Linked DNA regions of Canis lupus familiaris. The protein of the gene in region 2 binds, or shares a complex with, the protein of the main gene of each other region. Links are inferred from orthologs where the notes say so. Each region holds a gene or a part of one and is shown on either strand. Other genes may lie near its edges.

Region 1 (7,168 bases), on a different chromosome or scaffold from region 2:
ATGACATCACTATGGATGTTGACCTTGATCACCTGGCTGGAGGTAATGTTTGTCTAAATTTCTATACTAGTGGGCAGCCTGGGTGGCTCAGCGGTTTAGTGCCTTCAGCCGAGGGCGTGATCCTGAAGACCCAGGATTGAGTCCCACGTGGGGCTCCCTGTGTGGAGCCTGCTTCTCCCTCTGCCTGTGTCTCTGCCTCTCTCTCTCTCTCTCTCTCTCATGAATAAATAAATAAAATCTTTTTAAAAAATTTCTATACTAGAAAATTACTCTTTTTTCTTTCTCCCATTATGTACTACACTCTCTGGAAGAAAGTCACTATGTACCCCCACACTTAAGGGGTGGGGGTTAAAATCCACCTGATTAAAGGCATATCTACATAAACTACTTGGAATTCTTCTACATAGATTTGTCTCTTCTCTTCCTTTATTTGTTTACTCAACCATTTATATATATATATGATATACCATATAAGTTATATATGATATATGTTATATAATTACATCTACTTACATACATATAATTACATCCTAGACATTACATATCAATATATAATATCTCCACCTTTATTTACTCAACCATTTATATGTATAAATGATATACATAAATATACATATATATATATCAGTATAGGCTTATAGATATTTATTTTATGCAAGTTATAATCCTATTCTTTTTAAAATTTTGTTCAAATTGCTCCAGCTTTGGCCACTGGCAGCCCTTTCAGCTGGCTCCTGTATCCCTTTGGTATATACCCATCATGTTAGCATTTGGGGTTTGGGATTTTGGGGTGTGGTGGGTTTGGGGTTTTGTGAGGTTTTTGGCTTTTTTTGTTTTGTTTTTTTTCTTCCAAGATCATCTTGTATATTTCCTACCCCAGTCTTAGAATTAGCCATTTCTCCAAGGAACTCTGGTTCATTTTATTGGAGAATGCTATTAGAAACCAAGATCTGGGTGCTAAGTTGCTTCTAGGCCCTCTCAGCAGACAGAGGAGATACCCATGTACACTAATCTGTGTATATGCAGTCTTTATATAATTTCTCTATGTAACCAACTGTATCTACATTGAGCTAAACATGAGTTCATACTGATATCTCCAGTTCCAACCTTGATCGTGTTAGCCTCCTCCACATGCTTACCTGTCACTACTTATTCCAACAATAAGAAATCATCCATCCTGACTTAACTGTCAATTCTAGTGTACATGTGCTGTGGCTTCACAATTGTTAACCCATACTGCCACAGAAAACCGCTTCATCAACTAAAGTTGATGCTTACCCGCAGCTCCTTTACATTCACTTACAGACTCCGCCCATTTCCAGATTAGCACCTTACTCCCCCACCCCTTTAGTGAGGCTGTCTCAATCCTACCATACAAAATAACTTCACTGCCTTAAAAAAAAAAAAAAAAAAAAAAAAAAATCCCCGATGTCACTCATTTAACTCTACCCCTCACCACCCCCGGCACCCAGTAATCTGTTTACCTCATGTATGAGTTTGTCTTTTCCAGAATGTCATACAATTGGAACCATACAGCGCATAGCTTTTTCAGACTGGCTTCTTTCGCTTAGAAATATGCCTACCTGTGTCTTTTCAGAGCTAGATAGATGATTTCCTTTTATTGCTGAATAAATAGTCCCTTATACGGATATATCACAGTTTGTTCATTCGCCAATTGAAAGCTGCCTCCTCTGCAAAGACTCCTGTGATGTCACCAAGCAGGCTCCTTCCTCTTAGTTCCAATGCATCCTGTATACCAGTCTCCACATTGTCTTATTGTGCTGTGTGCCTTTGCTTTCCTGTCTGTCTCTCCTTGAGACCAGGAGCTCCTTGAGGAGAGAAGCCACGGCCAGTTCATTTCCATATCATCAGTGTCCCGCACAAGGATGGAGGATGGAGTCAGAAAATGCCTGTTGGATGAATGGACGAATGAATGAAATGTCACGGAGAGGAGGAAAATCTACAGACCTGGGGCATGAAGAATACACAAGGCCAGAATAGTTTTGAGGCGAAGTAGCCCAAGAGAAAGGGTTAGTGTTCGGAGGAAAGTCTAAGATCTAGGGTGGTGAGGAATGAAATTTGAGGGGAGGGGTCTGGATGCAGAAATGGAAAGAAAAGAGGACAATGAAACAAGCTCCTTATGAATATTCATTTATCCACACAACCCTGTAAGACAGTTATTACTAACGTCCGCATCTTTACGATGGGGAAACCCAAACATACTAGGGTAACTTGCCCAAGGGGAAATCGCTGGTGCGGTGGGGTGAGATTCGAACCATCAGCCTCGCTCCACTTGGTGCTCTCACCCAAGATCGGTTTGGTACAGGGCCCGGCGAGCGGCGAGAATTCAACGAAGGCGAGATGATCCTGCTGTTGCCAGTAGGAGGCCCAGGCTCGGAGTCTTGGAGGACTGGCTGAGGGGTCTTTGAGGCCGCCCTCGGACCTAACACGAGCTTAGACCAAAGGACGAGGCAAACCCGAGAGGCGCGGAGGCAGCGTCGATGAGGGACCCGTTGCCATAGGAACAAACGGAAGCTTTAGGAGGGCGCATGCGCAGGCCGGGGAAAGGGTGTGGAGCCGGCGAAAGGTGACGTAAAAGCGCACGGGGTGAGACGCAGGGCTCCGCACGTCAAAGCCCTGCGTCCTCCGGCATTCAGTGCAGTGGAAAGGCGCGCGCGGTGCTGGCGCCGGCAGTGATAGCAGCCCCAACTGGACCGAGAGCAGGCGGTGCGGAGCTGACGTGCAGAGCAGCGCCAGTGAAGCGTGAAGGCGGCGCCCGCGCCGGGAAGACCCCTCCGCGCAAAACGCGGCCGACCGGACCCGGGTCCCGGCTTCCAAGGCCCCGCCTCTCGGGCCTTGGGACTAATCGGATTGAGAGCGCGCCGGCCCGGACCCCGAACTCGCCAATTGCGTAGGGCGTCAGCTACCGCCCAATCCGGAGCAGACAGGTGCGAGGTCCGAAAGGCGGAGACCAATCAGCAGCGGTTGCGGCCTGTTGGGGCCGATCTCTGCCAATGAGGAGGCCCGAGTGACATCCGCGCACACCAATCGGGAGTGAGAGAGCGTTCGTGCCCGCCCGCCCTTCCGGCCTGAGCTCTATTTACCAGGGGCGTGCGGCCGGTTTACCAATCAGAGCGCGGCTGAGCGGCCGAGCAGCCAACCCCGGAGGAGCGGCCGGCCGGCGTCCGCCGCACCCGAGAGTTGGGGATGTCCTACAAACCCATCGCCCCCGCCCCCAGCAGCACCCCCGGCTCCAGCACCCCTGGGCCCGGCACCCCGGTCCCCACAGGTGAGGATCCGACTCTACCCCTGCTCGCCTGCCCGGGTGGTCGAGGTCTCGAGAACACGGCCCGAGTTCTGCAACACTGGGCCTGCTGCCTCCCCTCTCTGAGCCTCAGTTTGCTGGCCTGTGAAGTGGGCGTGGTCACGTAAGGGCTAGTTGGTGGAGCGCAGGGGGAGGGGTTTGTCGCTGAAGTTGAGCGCCTGGAGCGAAGTATCCCTTTGGAGGGAAGCGGGCGAATCCGGTCGGGGGCTTGGAACGCTGGGAGGCCGGGTCCCGGCCCCGCGCTGACCTATTACTCGCGCATGTTGCAGCCGGAAGTGTCCCATCGCCGTCGGGCTCAGTGCCGGGAGCCGCTGCCCCTTTCAGGCCCCTGTTTAACGACTTTGGACCGCCCTCCATGGGCTATGTACAGGTGAGTGGGGTGAGGGATTGCCTACGGACGGGGACTGGAGGTCCCCGCGGGCCCTGAGCTCATGGCCCTGTCCTCTTTTGACATAGGCAATGAAGCCACCTGGCGCCCAGGGCTCCCAGAGCACCTACACGGACCTGCTGTCGGTCATAGAGGAGATGGGTAAAGAGATCCGGCCCACCTATGCTGGCAGCAAGAGCGCCATGGAGCGCCTGAAGAGAGGTAAGTGAGGCTTCCACCCTCCCTGCTCAGGAGACTAACACTGGACAATCCTTCCTTAGCAAAGGAAGGACATCTGGAGGCCGCGTGACCCAAGCCTAAACAAGGGTGGGTGTCACTTTCCAGGGAGGTGTTTTGAATTGAATTGAAATTGAGTCCGTTTGGGGGGAAGGACCAGGGCATTTGTCTTTCAAAAGGACAAATTTGAGGATTAGCCAAATCGTTAATCTCATCAGGCCCTTTATCATCCTCCTCCCTTTCACTGGAAGGAAAGGGGGTGGGGAAGGAGGGTCTTCCTCTGGAGGATGAGGGTGGGACCCTGCAGGGTCGCTGCATGTTACTTGCCCATTCCCACCTCAGGCATCATCCATGCCCGGGCCCTAGTCAGAGAGTGCCTGGCAGAGACAGAGCGGAACGCCCGCACGTAACAGGACGCAATTCCACCGCCGAGTCTGGACCTTTCCTGGCCACTGCAGAGCACCTGCTTCTCCCTGGCCTTCACCCCGAGTTGCACTTCCCAACCTGGGCTTCCTGTCCTGTGTCCCCTGGTGGGTGCCCTCCAGGAACCAGGGGGCGGCTCTCACTCCAGCCGACAACACTTGACTGGGACTCTTTCAAGAGTTAGCAGCGAGGTCACTGTGAGTCCCGCCCATGACCTGCCAACAGTGTTGATCCAACTGGAGCTTGCTCCTTTCTGTGGCCCCCACCACTCAGCACTTACCCAGGACTTGTCACCACCTTTCCTAGACTCCTCCCCTAGCAAGGCCTCCCTAGGCCTGTCACCTCCCTGCCTTGTCTCCTGGGCCATAGCGACTCTTTTTTCAGTCAGTGTCTTTTGCTAAATATGCCCTTTTTGTATAAATAAAAGATAATTTGGAGTTGTTCTCTCACCTCTTAATCTTTCTGAGTGTGGTGCTTCTGCTGAGCCAGGAAGAAATTGGAAAAGAGGAGATCGAGGAGGGGAGAGGGGCAATGCAGTGGTGGGAGACAGGGCCACTGAACCTGGCCTGGCCTGGCTCCTACTGTCCATTGACTTGGCTGGGACCCTGCCCTCCTCCAGCCCTGGGCCTTCACAGTTCTGAGTCTTGAAAAGGCTTAAGCTCCAGTAGCTGTGAGCCCTACCCTCCTACACGTGGTGCCACCAGGGGGCAGCCTGGAGCTTTAGCCGCCTCCACAGCTGGAGGGCACTGTCGCCAGCCCGGGCCTAGAGGGTTCTTTCTCTGGATTGGCAGTCAGTGCCTGGCAGGGTGGAAATGTCAGTTCATATAAGCCAGGCCCTCACGTGTCTTAATTTTCTAAAATCTTAACCTCCCAGTCAACCCTGGAAGGTTCTGAACACGTCCTGACTTCTCAGAGGAGAGGGGGCACTGCTGCTGCTTTTCTCCAGCACCTGAGAAGCAGAGCCAAGGGGAGAGGATGGTCTTCCAACAGGAGCGAGATCCAGCTTGGTGCTGCCATCCACTGTCCCAGCACCTCCTAGCCAGCTGGGTGTGGTCCCGTGAGCCCAGCCCTCAGGTGTCTCAGCCTTTGCCCAGGGTCTGGTTGGCCAGACTTGTGGACCCGGAAGGCATCTGTGGGAAAAGCCATGGGGCCCCATTCAGGGGCTAGACCAAGGATTTCCGGTGACCACAGTAGCGGTCTGCCTGGGTGTGTACCTGAATGACCCCAGAGGCCTAGGGCACTGGAACCCCAGCCCCTTAGAAGAGGCAAGTCTAGGACCAGCTTCTCGGCTAACTTTGGGGACTGAGACATTTCCCCTATCCCGGGTTCCAGGTTGGAGGGCTGGGGAGAATGGGGATGGGGTCCTGCCATATTTCCATGGCACACAGGAGGGCTGGGCCAGGGTGGAGACACGAGCCATTAGAGCTTAGGAGATCCCAAAGAGCATAGCGGGAGTAAAAAGCGCCAGCACTTGGAGAACTGCCTCTTCCCCCGCTGCCTGGGGGAAGGAAGGCAAGGGCCGCCCTCCGCCGCCACGGGCGGGGCTGCGGGACCCCGCAGGAGTGGGGAGGGCCAGCCGGGCCCAGGAAAGGGGCGGGGCGGCCGCAGTGACGCGGCGGGCGGGGGGAGGGACGGCAGGGGCGCCGGCGGGCGGACCCGGAGGAAGGTCGGGGCCATGGGCCCGCGCTGCACCTCCAGAGGGTCCGGCGGCTGCTGGAACCCGAGGCTGGGGCTGGGGGCCCTCCGGGCTCCGACCCACGGCCCTCCCGCCCCCACCCGGACCGGGTGAGGGGCGCCCGCCCTAAACTAGAGGTGAGACGGGACGTCGGCGGGCGGGCCAAGAACACGGCGGGGGACGGTCCGCCGGGGAGCAGAGGGAAGTGGGGACAAATGGGGCCTCTCGCCTGCTCGCCGGGTGCGAGGTGGGAGGGGTGCCTGTCGCGGAACCGGGGCGCAGAGGGGCGGAGCGGGTCTCTCGGGGTGGGGGCCGTGGGATACCCAGTGGAGCCACTCTTGCCTCAGCCCCAGGAGGGGTCAACTCCGGGAAGGATGATGGTGTGGCTGCATAGACGAGTGCCAGGGGTCCAGGAAGGATGCTGAGGAGGGGAAGTCGAGGACTGGGCTGCGGGCCAGAAGGGCAAAGGCAGGTCTGGGGGCCGGAGGGGTTAGTCATGTGGTCCAAGAAGGTAGGTTCGGGTGCAGGGGGTGGGGAGCACTGACAGACGCTAAGAGGAGGAGCGCCCGGAGCTGCTCTGCGGACAGACATCCCGGGGACTAGGTTCTAAGTGGATGGGGAGTGGGGGACACGCGACCGCCGACTAGGGGATAGTGATGCAGCGGGCGGGCCCCGACCGGATGGCTGTGGAAGGCGGGCCTGGAGGGAGGGGACGGGGGCCCGGCTCCTGGGGGCGGGTCCCGGAGGGATGCAGCTTCGAGGGGGCTTAGGACGCGGCCGCGGCTTCAGAGGCGAAGCTGGCCCCTGAGCCCGCCGGCCCGCGCCAGCCGCTCCGGGGGGCCCGCGTCAGCGCGCGGTTGCCATAGCGACGGGCGGGCGGGGGACGGGGGCTGCGCGGAAAAGAGGTCAGCGCTCAGCCTAGCTGCGGCTCGTGGCCCCCGGCGGCGCTGGCGGCGGCACTGGGCTCGCCTCTGCCCACCCCGTGGCGGGCCCAGGCATGGGGTCCGGCGGCCCGAGCCCTCCGGCCCGCGCGCAGGGCTCGGGGCCGCGCGCCGCCGCCCCGCACTGACTGCCGCGCCGTGCCCTGCGCCAGGCGGAGCGGAGGCCGCACTCGGCCGGCCGAGCACCTTCAGGATGCTCA
Region 2 (7,168 bases):
AGAACTGCTATACTCTCCACAGAAGGAAGCTGATACTCAGGACAAAAACAGACAAAGAGAGAGCTGTATATACCCGAAATAGGCCTGCCAGGCCAGACCAGGCCCACCTCGGGCAGCTGTCCAGACCCCTGCCTCCTTTCCCTCATCTTTAACAGGAGTCCTCTATATGTTCACCAGTGCAGCTCCAGCAAGCTGCTTAGAATTAACCAAATAAGAGAAATATATCTAGCCCTCCTCTAACTGCCCACCAAATATTCTACAAAGCAAGGAATGAAAATGAAAGAGCCTATCAGTGCAGGGGGCCCAGAAACCACACCCTTGACTACCCACTCTGGGTCATCACTGCTTAAAACCACCAGAATCCTCAAGCCCCAGGTTCAGTTGTCCGCCCAATATCACACCCACTCCCAAACATGATTTCCTTTCCCCATCTCCAGCTCTACTGTTCCTCCCCAGCTTCTCCTGGGTCAGTAGCCTCTTCTCCCCAGGGGCCCAAATCAGCCCAGCTGTCACCATCTCCTCCACACACACCCCCATCCTCCTCCCATCTGGCTCCACCTCCTTCCCTGGCTGGGAGCACACACAAAGCCTAGGGTAATACTGAGAGCTCCTGGGCAGGGCTAGGTGGGAAGGGGCACAGGGGGAGGAGAAGGCCAGGAGGCAGCTTCCTTTGTAACTAACACACATTCACACCAACTCCCTCCTCCCTCCTCTCTCTCCTTCTTCCTAAGCCACCCCCGCCCAGGGAGGCGGGAGTGGAGAAGGGAGTGGAGAGAAGGAGGGAGTGCCTCACCCACTGAGGAGAGGGAAAATGGCTCCTGACCGCAAAAGCCAGCCCAGGGCACCCAGCTGCCAACATAGGACAGGAAGTAGCAGGGGAGAGGGGGTTGGGTTGAGAGAGGTAGCCGAGGAAAGACTACCCTCACAAGACTTCCCAAATTGCTACCTGGCCCCAGGTCCACATACCACTTCTCCTAACACCTATTTTGGGATGACACAGTTCTCAACAAGCCACTTTAATGTCCTAGGCAAGGAAACCCAAGACAAACATGAAGGGTAATACCACAAGAAAGACTGGGTTACTGCCTCAATCATAATTATTTTTCCAATCATCAGAACTAAGATTTAACAAAAACTCAGTGGAGCTGTGGTCACAGCATACAACTTTCTTGAATTTTTGATACCCAAAAAATTTAGCTTGAGGAATGGGAGGCCAGAAGTCTCCACAACTCAGTTCCCTTCTCACCACCTACCTCCCCAAGAGTCCAAGCCATAGACCCTAAACTACCTCTCACAGATTAGAAGTAGCCACCTATCCAGCATATGTGATGTTCACACGAAGAAAAGAAGAGCAGCACCTGGACAGTGCGGGACAATATGCTTCCTTCTATTCGCCCCTGACTCCCAGAACTAGCCCTAAAATGCTTCTGGCTCCGCCCTTCCTGAGCAAGGCAGATACTAGGGAATATGAGACATTAAGCTTGACAAAGCACCATCAGCCTCCCCCCACTCAGCCCAGGATCAGGCCAGGCATATGAAAGCCCCTCCCATTCCCTTGGGAATGGAACACCAGCTTGGATCTCACCAGAAAGAACCATTTTCTTAAGGCTTTTTCAAAGCAATCCCCCATGTCATCCCCCTCACTAATAAGTCACATCTCTCAGTTCCTCATCTTCCTCACCTCCGTGAAAGCTGGACACCAGGACAAACCCGTGCAGGTGAAGGGAACACCCATCCACATAAGACCCCCAAACTTCTCAAGCAGATAATGCACAGAGACAACATTCAAAGTGGCTGAGACATAAAAGAAGATTTGGGAAAGGGGCAGGAATGGGGTGTGGCAAGTGGAAAAACTGGGTCATGCTACAGCTTGGGGCAGAGTTCACCCTGGGAGCCTGCACTGCTCCCAATCAACACAGGGGCAGCCCCAGCCCAAGGGGCCAATGGGAAGCCAAAATGTGGAACCAACATTGGCTGGACAGCACTACTACTTCTCTCGCCCCTCACAGAGAGAGTCAGATCATGTTACCAATGCTGCTACCCCACCCCCACCTTGGGCAACAGTACAGAAATTTGCCACCTTGGTCTACACAGTGATGAGACTCGAGCCTAAGTTTCTCATCCCAACAGCTGAAGACTCAGCAACAAGACTGACCCCTTTACTAAGTGGCCTCAGTTTCAAACTAAGACTTGAAGACTTCCAACTTAGAAAACACCAAAATGTAGGAACATCTTTCCCAGACCTCAACTTACTGCTACAGCTAAGGAGAGAGAAGGCAGAAGTGAAAGATGTTTGATGGGAAACAAAAACACGACCAGCAGGCTCCAGAATTAAAGCGAAAATAAAGATAAGCAGAAGGATAAAGAAATGACATTTAAAAAAAAAAAAAGAAGCTTGAAAAAAAGGTCAAGGAAACAAGTAGGTGACTTAGCTACGGGCTGTGAAAAAGGAAAGACAGACAAGAGAGAGACATCCACTCAGATGCATGACATCAATCACCATTTGAGAAGAGACAAGAGCTTCTCCAATCAGGCAGGATGATTACAACCATACGGGTTTGGCCAGTCCCAGGAGCCACCCACAAACACAGAACAACCCCCAACACACCTACACAAACACTTCATGACACCAGCCCAAACCCTAGGCTCCCTGCACCAAAGCAGAAGCCTCTAGGAAAAAAGTCTGTATCATGTCCATTTGCTATGGGAAGGGGGGGGGGGGTTGCCCAGGGTGTCACCTCCCTTCTTTTGCCCCTCCCTAGTATATCCTTCAGGGTGTGACATCCTACCCCAAGCCCCCATCATTTCCCCATTTGAAACATTCCAGCAATCTGCCTGCTAAAAGCTCTCTACATCCCAGCTGAGGAGCGCAATTCAAACTTCACAGTTGAGACATCACAGAAAACCGGTAACTGATCAGAAGCTAAAAATAATCAGATAGAGAGTAACCAGCACTCCCTCTCTCCTTTCCACAGCAGCAACCACAGGATCCTGCTAACACAGATGCCGGGCTGGTCTTCAACATGCAATCCTCGACACCCACCCGAACCCCCACCCCGCCTCCAACGGGTCCCAGCCACCTGCATTCCTCCGTGGACCCACACAAGGTAAGGTCTCCAGACCAGAGGGCTCCCTCAACTGGGAACTGCATAGCATTCCTTAAAACAGACAGTGCAGCAAGCTTGCATCTCGGTCCCAGAGCCCAGGAGGCACATGGCTTCCACCCCCTCCCACAAGAGCTCCGCAGAAGGGAACCACTCCCTTCGGATGCCCTCCACCTCAGACTCTGCACGGAGAGAGAGAAACTCAACCTTGCCTCACCAGAGTCGCTAGGGAGGGCCCAAATGCCTCCTTCCTGCCCAGGGCCCTTGGGGAAGATTTACCTGGGTGGGGTGGGGGCAGGCTGTTGTTCAAAAGTGCATCCATATCTTCCTCCTCGCTGCCCGCGGAGCAGGGGGACGGGGAGCCCAGGCCCGACGCCATCCCCTTCCGCTCCCGGCCAGGGAATTGGCCCAGCTGCTCCTGCCTGCGGCCTGGGGCCCTCTACACTGGCCCGAGTCACTGTGCGGGGGAGGGGGGGAAGAAAGAGAGAACAGTCAGTGACGCGCACTGTCCCCCTCCCCCACACCCACCCGCTCTTTCCGCCCACCACCAAAGCGGCCCCCCCAACCCCAGCCACCCTAGCAGGGCACCCGAACCACTCAGGCTGAACTTAGTTCCACACTCCTCGAGGGCAGCCCGGAAGCCGGCTCCCCAACTGGAGCCCCCCAGATGAGCGGGAGCGACGCCCCCGAGGGCAGGCTGGTGCAGGCGTGGGGAGGGGGAGAAACCAGGCTGGACCGAGCAGGGTATGTCGGGGGAGGGGGGTCCGAGTGGCCGCGGCGCGGGGGGGTCGGGGGAGGCGGCAGGCAGCGAGGCGCTCGGGGACACAAGGTCACTTGGGGGTGGGGGGGCGCCTCCCTGCGCCTGGGGAGGGGCCAGTCCCCAGACAGGGCAGCTCTCCAAAGGCTGTCCTCTGGGACAACTCAGGTTCTCCGGAGGAGCCACGGGGCCGAGGGGGCGTGGAGGCTCGGGCGCTCCAGGGGGCTGGAGGCTGGGACGCGGGGGGCGAGGGAGCGCCCACCGGGCAGGGGGCCGGGCCACGTGTCCCGGGGGGCAAGTGAGCAAAGGGCGAGGGGGCGGGCGCCGGGCATTGTGGGAGACCCAGCCCGAGGTGGGAGCCGCGGGGGGCAGGACTCGGGCCGGCTCAGGGCGGGGGCGGGGGGGGCAGGGCGCCCTGCAGGCAAGGAAAAGGAAGGGTCGGCTCCTCTGGGCAGGGGGCGGTCCGCGAGTCCGGGACATCTGAGGAAGGGGTGGATGGAGGGATGAGCTTGGGGGCTGGTCAGGCTCAGAGGGGCGTCTCTTTAGGAACCCCGCGCTCTCCTCACCCCGGAGCCGCCGCAGGTCGCGCTGGGTCCGGCCCGGTGTCACTCCCGCTCCGGCTCCTCCTCGCCGCGGCCGAAGGGGGGAAAATGGCTCCGGCTCCGGCGTCGCCTCTTAAAGGGCCCGAAACACCGGCCGGGAAATCCCACCGCACAGGCCCCGCCCCCCCACGGACAGCCCATAATAACCTCAACCAACTCCAACCCCCCCTCCACTACCGCCACCCTCCTCCTTAGGTCTCCCGGGCAACCCCCGCCCCCTCGTCGCTCCGGCAACCATTGGCCACGCCCCCTTCGAGCGCGCGCGCGCGTGTCACCCGGGCAACCACCCACCTCCGGCCATCCCATAATACACACGGACACCCCACCACCACCACCCCACACACACATACACTCCATACACCTATATGCTAAGGTTGTTGACATATCATAATATTGCAGACCTTTGCAACTAACCCTTTCCCCACCTCAGACATCCCATAATAGCCATCCTTTGCCAACTTCTTCACTCTTGGCCCTAATGCTAACATCCCATAATAATTCGTCACCTCTCCTTCCCCATGGCCATCCCATAATAAGCACCCCTCCCAGCACTTAAGCCTCACAGCCCATAATACTCATTCCCCATCCCCCACAGACATCCCATAATAACCACTCTTCATCCACCCCCAGTTTGATATCCCATAATAGTCAGAAACAACGCCCCCCCCCCCCCAGTACTACAACGGACACTTCGGCCTCCTCCCACACACATCCCGTAATAATCAGTTTCCCACTTTTACACTGACATCCCATAATAACCAACCCCCTAGCCTGAGCTGCCCTCAGCCCCTGCAGACTAGGGTCTAGATCCTCACACCACCACCCTCAGCCTTCATACATGCGTTCTAACTCCACAGCCCATAGTAACCTCTTCTCTGTCAAAGAGATATCCTCTAATGATCGGCAGCCCCACTGTCACCCTACAGATGGACATCCAATCTCCTTTCCTCTAACGCTGGAAAGATATCCCATAATTTTACTCTCCCACCCACACCTTGATATCCCATAATAATGTCAAGGAGCCCGAGGTCCACCAGACATACTCTAATACTCCCAGCACATCCCATAATGCTTCATCGCCAGCCACCACCCCTATACCTTTCCAGCCAGGCATCCCATAATATTCACATTCATACCTCCCCCACCTCCTCAGGCCATCAGGTCTATTCTAACACCCAGAGCCACAAGGTTGTGAAGCAGGCTGCTACCCGCACTGCCCTGTGCCCACCCCAACTTGTACATACCTTTATCCCTTTCTGGGCCAAAGCAGTATCCTGGCATAAAACCTCTTGATGTCTAGGGCAAGCCCTACCTTCCCTCAGACCATTTCTAGACTCTCAGGAACTGCCAGTCAACCTAGGGCCCCACCCAATCCCACCCAAATCCAGTTATTCTCCAGATGCTTACCTCCAGCTCCAGCTCTTAAATATTGAGTAAGACCAGCCAAATACCAGGCTGACCAGATGAACCATTTACATAAAGTTTAATTCACCCCACAGCTTCCCCTAGTCATAATAAACTCCAATCTTTAGAAAGGAGTCTTTAGCCTACTTCTCAACATTTCAGCAGTCCTTCTCCCACCTCATCCTACCTCTCCAGGTCAGATGGTGCAACACACCTGGGCCACTCCCATGGATGGACATCCCACCATGATGTGACATGAGGATATATATATATAATATATCATGTTCATTTAACAGATGTTGCCAGCATACCTAGTAAGGCACCAAGGTGGGCACCACAGGGAATGCAAGAACCACAGGTGCCTCCCTTCATCAAACAATGAGACAAGATAGAATGTCTGGTGTCAAGGGAACACTGCTCAGTGCTATTTCCCAATTTCCTGTTACAGAGAATAAAATAAATCCCAACTGGTCTCAGGAGAGATCAGATCCCAACAGAGGTTCTTGATAGTCCTTCTATAGGCTAGAAGGTATTCCAAAAGGATGATATAGATGGGTGGCCAAGATATCTCCTCTCTGTTCCCTACCACACTAAGGGATTTTGATTGGAAAGCAATGTCCATCTATCCAGCGTTTCTGAAATCCTATAATATCCTATCATGTGCCTCCTTCTTGAGAGACTCTTAACACACCAGAATTGTTACCCTCATTCTTGAACACCAAATTATGCTGACCCTAAATGTCCTGGACATTTTTTTTTAAGATTTTATTTATTTATTTATTTATTTTAATTTATTTATGATAGGCACACAGTGAGAGAGAGAGAGGCAGAGACACAGGCAGAGGGAGAAGCAGGCTCCATGCAGGGAGCCCGATGTGGGACTTGATCCCGGGTCTCCAGGATCATGCCCTGCGCTGAAGGCAGATGCTCAACCGCTGAGCCACCCAGGCATCCCTGTCCTGGACATTTTTAACCTGGATTGTTTGTATCCTGAAGTCTCATACTTCCAACTGCCCCCATTCTTATCTTGTTGAGGCCCCATGCTCCATCCAAAAAAACCTTTTGATGTATAATATTCACCATCTTCCCTCCTGTGTACAAGTCAACATTCCAGGATGCTTCTTTCATTCAATTATGCTGCAAGGAAGTCTTCCAACATGTACCCTCCACTTCCCAGACTGGGCCTATTTTGCAGTACCTTGGGGACCCAGCCCTAGAAAGTCCAAGAGCTCAATCTTAAGACCTGTTAGCCCTCAGAGAGCCTGCACCCATAAATCTGTCACTTTTCCCTCTTTCCTGAT
Region 3 (7,069 bases), on a different chromosome or scaffold from region 2:
TTACGGACTGACACCTATAGCAAAGGCTTGTGCTAAAAATTTAAATATATAAAGTGTTCATCACATGTCAAGAGCTTCCTACATATTAGGTCCCTTCTCTCTATGCCAGCCATCCTCATCACTAAAGAAGAGATGTTGGGGATTCCTTGCTCATTTACTTAAAAGTAATGGGCACTTTATTTATTTATGATAGGCACACAGTGAGAGAGAGAGAGGCAGAGACATAGGCAGAGGGAGAAGCAGGCTCCATGCACCGGGAGCCCAACGTGGGACTCGATCCCGGGTCTCCAGGATTGCACCCTGGGCCAAAGGCAGGTGCTAAACCGCTATGCCACCCAGGGATCCCTGGGCAAACACTTTAAAACTTGTGATGCATTCCTTTGTAATTTATGGTTTCCAGAGGCCTGTTCACTGGAGAAAGGCTTCCTGGTTTAGAGAATTCTAGGCCAGAGGAAAGGGCAGAATTATAATCCCAATACTGCTGGAAGACTCCAGGTGAATTATTCAATCTATTTGTCAGCACAGAAATGGAGAGAGTGATGTCAGATATGTCATAATACGTTTTCTGTGGGATCTCCAGTAAAAGGATTATGGTAACAGCTAGTCAGTGTGCATAACAGAACACTTCTGCTTTTTTCTCTGGGTCAGAAGAGCTGACACAGGTTCACACTGTACACATGGTGTAAAAACCCTTGGGAATCTGAAACTTTATGGAGTTAATAAAAAACAACAGACACCTGTTATTTGCATACTGCTCTATGCTGAATAGTTTATAAAGCATTTTCATATATTGTCACAACTGATCCTTACCCCACCTGTGAAATGGAATTAATGTTCTCATTTTGTACCTGAATAAATTTGGGTGACACACATCATCAAGGTAATTCAGGCAAATGTGCTTTATTTTTTACTTTGCCTCAGCTATATAGAGCATTATTTTTTTCACTTTAATAATTTGTGATCATGGACCATCACATATGCCATCACCATTCAAACACAACACAATCTTCTTTTCTGGGGACACTGCCCATCCCTGCACAGATCCCATACCCAGGGTCACCAACATGTAGCTGTAAATCACCAGAAACTCCACAAACAACTCACAACAGTGAGGGATCATCTTACCCTTGATTATATAATGATGTCTGGAAGTAGTTTGGAATGGATTGGCTTTTTATTTTTTCAATTTAAAACAAATTTTTATCAAGGTTTATTTGAGAGAGCACTTGGAGGAGAGGCAGAGCGACAGGGAGAGAGAATCCCAAGCAGACTCCTCACTGAGCATGGGGGGGGGTGTGTGTGTGTGCCTGGACACCGCCTCCAGATAATGACCTGAGCCAAAATCAAGAGTCAGGTGCTGCTGGCTTTTTAAAAAGTTGTTTGCATTCATTTGGGGGATTGCCAGCTAAGATTCAATTCAATTTGTTTTTTTGCTTGTTTCTGTGAGGGAATGGAGGCTGAGAATGCTGGGATTGCCTAGAGAATTGGCATGGGAAAATAATGATTCAAAAGCATTAGGCACATAACTAGTTAAAAGTCCATCAACAGTAAGGGGACTGAAACCATCTCCCCCTTTGTGGAGAGGGGGTGGGAATGGCGAATAAGTAGGGTCCCTTTCCTAAGGGCCTCTTTTCCTGGCAGGGCGGCACTGGATATAGGGTCTGTCTAGAGGCCAGGCCTCCGCTGGGAGTGGGTTCTGTTCAGCCCACGCGTGGGGTGAACTTGATAGACCTGTCAATGCAGTTGGGGTGACTTGGGAGGGGGTCAGTGTTTTTGGACTTCTCTCCAGCTAGCACGCTCCCTGGGGAAGCTGGTAGCACCAGGGTCCTCCTGGCCCCAAGGTATGCGGGTTCCATCACCACCATGAGGCAGGCGCTCTGCTGGGCGCACTTATTTGTTTCCAAGTGTTTGCCCTGAGGCAGGCGCCCACGTGCTCAAGGTCTTGCATACAAGGGCTCCCCAGGGACGCAGCAAGGAGGAAGACCTGTCTGCGGGTGGCCAGGTGACAGGGTACGGTGGCTGGGGCTGTGTGGGCTCGGGAGAGCCTGAGCCCCTGCCCCCACCCCAATTCTCCCACCGCTCCAGGTCCGCATTTGCCACTGCAGGCCTCCGCTTCGGCCACGACCCTTGCCCTGGGGTCGCCCACCTCCGGCGAGGGCCCCCAAGCCGCCGCCTCCCCAGGTCCCCGCGGGCCCCGCAGCGACCTCCCCCGGCCCGGCCCGGCCCGGCCCGCTCGGCCCGGCTGGCCCGTCGCTGGGGGCGGGAACCTGCCCCCACCCCGCGGCGTCCCCTCCCCTTCGCTTCCCCCTCCCCTCCCCTCGGTGCCTCCCTCCCCTCCCCCCCGCGGCGAGGCGGCGGCGGCGGCGGCGGCGGCGGCGGCGGCCGAGGCTGAGGCGGCCGAGGCTGAGGCGGCGGCGGCGCGGCGCGGCGGGCGGGGCTCGGCTCGGGCTCCGCGGGCGGGCGGGCGGACATGGCGGCCAACATGTACCGGGTCGGAGGTAGGAAGGCTCGGCCCGACCCGGCCCGTCTGGGAGCGGGCTCCGGGAGTGGGGGGTCGGGGCGAGTTCACCCTAACCGCCGGGGGCCGCGGGCGCGGGGGGCAGGGGCGCCGGGGCCCGCAGGAGGGGCCGGGGCTCCCCACCCGCGCCACCCGCGCCACCCGCCCCTCCCCCGGCCGTGGCCCGCCGGGGGCCGGCGCCCACCTTCCCCCTCGCTCGCACCCCCGCTCAGTTTTCTAGGGCCGGCCGGGCCTGTACTTGGGGGTGTGAATTCTCAGCTGCCCCCCTCCGAGACGCCCCCATTGGGTGTCGGCCGTCGAGCCCCCAGTGGGGTGCTCTTTCCCTGCGTGGCTTCCAGGCAGTGGGGGGGTTGGAGAGGATGGGGGGACGCCCCCCCGCTCTACTCCTTCACCCCTTCAGTTGGGAGCGGGGGGTGGGGGCGATGGGGGCTCAGCCAGGCACAGCTGGACAGGCCTGTTGGCGGGGATAGGGCCCTTCACCTCTCCTTCCTCACTCCCCCCTCCCGTTTCTTGCCCAGCCCCCCCAAGATGGGGCGTAGTGGGGCCAGGGCACCGCGGCCAGAGGTGGGGAGTTGAGCTCTGCCCGGACGTTTGCTCTGGTGACTGCCTTCTCAGCCCTCTGCAGAAAAGAGAAATAAGGTCAAACAAACTTTCTCCCTACTCACGACGCCCTCCTCCCTCTTTCTTGGTAGAATAATAATTCAGATAAGTGGCGTGTTTGTGTGTGAGACTTGGTCTTCTCTGCTCATTAGCTGAGCTCCTGATGGATGGTAGTGGGAATGGCCTGGCCAAATGAGGCCACTTTGCAGAAGAGAGACGACGGAAAGAGCCACTAAGATAGACAATAACAATGCAGCCCAGCCTTTCAAATAAACACACAGTGGGAAGTTTCCAGTGAGCCTATTACAGGAGAGGAAAAGCCACACTTGAAAATTTTTATCTTTTTTATTGAAAGCCTGCGGTGATTTTTTTTTTTATAACAAGACCCCAAATGGATCTGTATTAAATATGGTAAAGAGCATAACAAAATCCTGATAACCATCTCCAGAGAGCTCTGTCTCTCAGAAAGGGAATCCCCTTTCATGCCCCCCCCCCCCCCCCCAATCATCCCAGATAGAGCTGTGGAAGTTTGTCAGTGTGCTTCCTCTTACCTATTCTGCTCACCTGATTTTTTTTTTTTTTTAAGTTGGTGATTGAAATGTACTTTGGGCTGCTAAGCTTTTCAAGATGCTCTGAATTTGTCTTAGGTCAATAGTTTTATGTGAGAAGCATACTCCAGGGTAAATTGGATTGGAGGGGAAAGATGTGGAAGCAGTTATAGCATGAAAGACACATGTTTAGTCAGCCCTGACTACTCGGTGATGAGGAGTCTTTTTGTTTATTATTAAAGAAGTGATGTGTGGCATGAAAGGCTCAGAGAGCTTGATAAAACATTAATTGTTAAATGAAAATTTCAGGAAAATAAGGGTCTGTGAATAGTAGGCATGAGAAAATATATTAAGGTTGTATTGCTAAATTTGCTTTTAACCGGGAATGAATTATGTGCTTCATTTTGAATGTGCATTGCCTAATATAGAAAGTCATAGATTGACAAATGTGAACTTTCTGTTGAAAAGATTAAGGTCTTTACTTCCTTTAATTACAGATTATGTCTACTTTGAGAATTCCTCCAGTAACCCGTACCTAATCAGAAGGATAGAAGAACTCAACAAGGTATAAACGCTAAGTGTTCTTGATTCTAATATTAAAAAAAAATTGTTTTCCATTGACGAGTAATTAGGTAAAGGGCATAAGAGGTGATTTTACTTTCAGTCCTGGACTCTTTGAAACTAGAGATTGAAGATTAGAGAGTTATGCAGGATTCTGAATATTCTTTTGCTTTTATAATTACCTATGATATTAAATGTTACTGAATATTTAACATCTGCAGATTTCTGGGATGCCTGGGCTCAGTGGTTGAGCATCTGCCTTTGGCTCGGGGCGTGATCCCAGAGTCCCAGGATCAAGTCCCACATCGTGCTTCCTGCATGGAGCCTGCTTCTCCCTCTGCCTACATCTCTGCCTGTCTGTGTGTCTCTCATGAATAAATAAATAAAATCTTAAAAAAAAAAATCTGCAGATTTCTTCACGTTGCTCAGATCTTCTCGGAGCAGGTCACTCTTGTAACTGTCCCTTTTTATATTTAGAGTCATAATTGTATTTCTTTCAGGGAATTATTTTTTCCTCTTTCAGCTTTAGAAAGAGGAAGCTAGGAAATGTAGTATTGAAGCGAATTTGTAAAATTTTGGACTAGGTCAACTAATAAGAATACAGTTTTGTTATAATGTAAAGTAGCTTCCTACTTTAGGCCTGACAGCAGAAGCTTTGTGACTGTTTGCAATAGGTGAGCTTATTATAATGGTAGCATATGAAAAGCCATAAACTATATGAACCATGGATTACTAATGGTGCTCTGGTTTCCTCCAAACCAACTTTGAAGATTATTTGTTTTACTTATGAGAGTTCATAGTGTTAAAATGTCGGAAGCTGTCTTGCTAATACCTTTCCTCCAAAGTACCTTCTAGAGACTGGGGAAGTTCTGAGTCCCAGGATGTAAGATTTGGTTTAGGGCATTTCTGGTTTATGAACCCTGAGATCTTGGTTTGCTTCTGGAGACATCCCCATGGACCTTACATCTATAAAAATTCTGTTGTAGTTGAGACCACCACCATCAAATGAAGAAAATGACCTCAGGATTAGATCAGTCTGTTGGTGGGAACAGTTGGGGTGTCATTTTGATCTTTTTTTTTTTTTAAAGATTTTATTTCTCCATGAGACACACACACACACACACACACACACACACACACACAGAAGCAGAGACACAGGCAGAGGAGAAGCAGGCCCATGCAGGGAGCCTGACGCAGGACTTGATCCCCGGTCTCCAGGATCAGGCCCTGTGTTGAAGGCGGCGCTAAACTGCTGAGCCACCTGGGCTGCCCTCATTCTGATCTTCTCTTTTATTTTAGTGATGTGTAAGAGTGTAGGCAACTTGAAACTGTTTATGAGTTTATTTAGAAAATTAATTAGGATACAAAGAGAAGTGTTGGCCTATGAAACATATTCTCTGGCTGCTCCCTATCCCTCTGACCTCCACTCTTACTGCTCTCTGCCTTGTTCATTTAGCTCCAAAGACAGTAGACTCTTTGCTGTTTTCACATACACGTACCTCAGGACCACCCCACCAAGTTGTTTCTAATTCCCTGTACCTTGCTCTACCTTGCTCTTTTCCATATTATTTATCACTTTCAAATATAGTTAATTATTGTGTTTGTTTTCATTGTCTGTTTTCCCGGACTAGAATGTAAGCTCTGTGTGTAGTGATCTTTTCTGTTCACTAATGCATCCCAAGTGCCTTAGAGTAAGAGACTGGCACATAGTTAAGGCATTCAGTAAATATTTATTGAATTAATGAATTTCTCACACGTCTGACGTTAAACAAGAGCCTTAACATAGGGAATAACAGAAGTCACTTCTTTTGGATAGAAAAGGAAAGGATTTTAAGGACATTGAAGTTGGGGACGCCTGGGTGGCTCAGTAGTTGAGTGCTTGCCTTCGTCGCAGGGAGTGTTCCTGGGGTCCTGGGATTGAGTCCCACATTAGGCTCCCAGCATGGAGCCAGCTTCTCTCTCTGCTTGTGTCTCTGCCTCTCTCTCTCTCTCTGTGTGTCTCTCATTAATAAATAAATAAAATATTAAAAAAAAAAAAAGACATTGAAGTTTAAGCCTAAAGGATGAGAAAGAGGTAGCCATGGGAGAGATGCCACACTAGCGTTCCACATAAAGGCCCTGAGGGATCAGAGGTCAAGCTGGCAAAATGGGGAAAGTTAACATGATGGAAAATCCAAATAATGAATTTAAGAACACCTTTATACTCTAATTGATAAACCAGGATAAGAAAGGACATTAACCTCGGGGTACCTGTCTGGCTTAGTCGGTAGAGCATATGACTTGATTTTGGGGTCCAGCGTTTAAGCCACATGTTAGGTGTAGACATTACTTAAATAAAAAAATGAAAGAAAAAAAGGAACATTAACCTATCTCATTAACTATCTTCTTGAAGTTTATTTATATATTTTAATAATCTCTACACCCAGTGTCGGGCTCGAACTAAGGACCCTGAGATCAAAAGACTCTGAAATCTAAAGTCAATTATGCTCGACCATCTGAATCAGCCAGGAGCCTAGGGCCCCTATTAATTATCTTCTGAATAGAATGTGTTTTTGTAACAAAATTCTTAGGATAAGCTGTCAATCACCATTGTTATAGACAATTCACTTTTATAGAATGGTTTCTGATTTTTAAAAAAAATCCTATTTGAAATATTACTTGTTCAATTTGAAAGCTGGACTACAGTAATTTTTTTTAAATTACAGTAATAATTTTTAAAAAAAGATTTTATTTATTTGACAGCACAAGCAGGGGGAGCAGCAGGCAGAAGGAAAGGGAGAAGCAGGCTCCCCGCCAAGCAGGGACCGCCCCCCCACCCCCATGCGGAGCTCCATCCCAGGAT

What was found. Proteins that work in one complex are often made in the same cells at the same time.
Region 1: CHD4 (region 2) and CDK2AP2 share a complex: the UniProt entries of both Homo sapiens proteins name them as parts of the nucleosome remodeling and deacetylase (NuRD) repressor complex. The link is inferred for Canis lupus familiaris from reciprocal best matches to the Homo sapiens genes CHD4 and CDK2AP2.
Region 3: CHD4 (region 2) and MTA3 share a complex: the UniProt entries of both Homo sapiens proteins name them as parts of the nucleosome remodeling and deacetylase (NuRD) repressor complex. The link is inferred for Canis lupus familiaris from reciprocal best matches to the Homo sapiens genes CHD4 and MTA3.

The regions. Positions count from the first base shown.
Region 1 is NC_049239.1:50,471,477-50,478,644, forward strand, and holds CDK2AP2 (cyclin-dependent kinase 2-associated protein 2), read left to right. Parts: upstream 1-2,611; 5' UTR 2,612-3,207; coding exon 3,208-3,289; intron 3,290-3,594; coding exon 3,595-3,695; intron 3,696-3,781; coding exon 3,782-3,914; intron 3,915-4,271; coding exon 4,272-4,339; 3' UTR 4,340-4,809; downstream 4,810-7,168. Other genes in the region: PITPNM1 (membrane-associated phosphatidylinositol transfer protein 1), read left to right, coding at 7,162-7,168. UniProt on the Homo sapiens protein: Acts as a component of the histone deacetylase NuRD complex which participates in the remodeling of chromatin.
Region 2 is NC_049248.1:7,679,762-7,686,929, forward strand, and holds the start of CHD4 (chromodomain-helicase-DNA-binding protein 4), read right to left. Parts: upstream 4,586-7,168; 5' UTR 4,428-4,585; intron 3,849-4,427; exon of another isoform or gene 3,678-3,848; intron 3,562-3,677; 5' UTR 3,484-3,561; coding exon 3,384-3,483; intron 3,108-3,383; exon of another isoform or gene 2,976-3,107; intron 2,682-2,975; exon of another isoform or gene 2,598-2,681; intron 1-2,597. UniProt on the Homo sapiens protein: ATP-dependent chromatin-remodeling factor that binds and distorts nucleosomal DNA. Acts as a component of the histone deacetylase NuRD complex which participates in the remodeling of chromatin.
Region 3 is NC_049238.1:34,300,466-34,307,534, forward strand, and holds the start of MTA3 (metastasis-associated protein MTA3), read left to right. Parts: upstream 1-2,410; 5' UTR 2,411-2,470; coding exon 2,471-2,498; intron 2,499-4,163; coding exon 4,164-4,231; intron 4,232-7,069. UniProt on the Homo sapiens protein: Acts as a component of the histone deacetylase NuRD complex which participates in the remodeling of chromatin.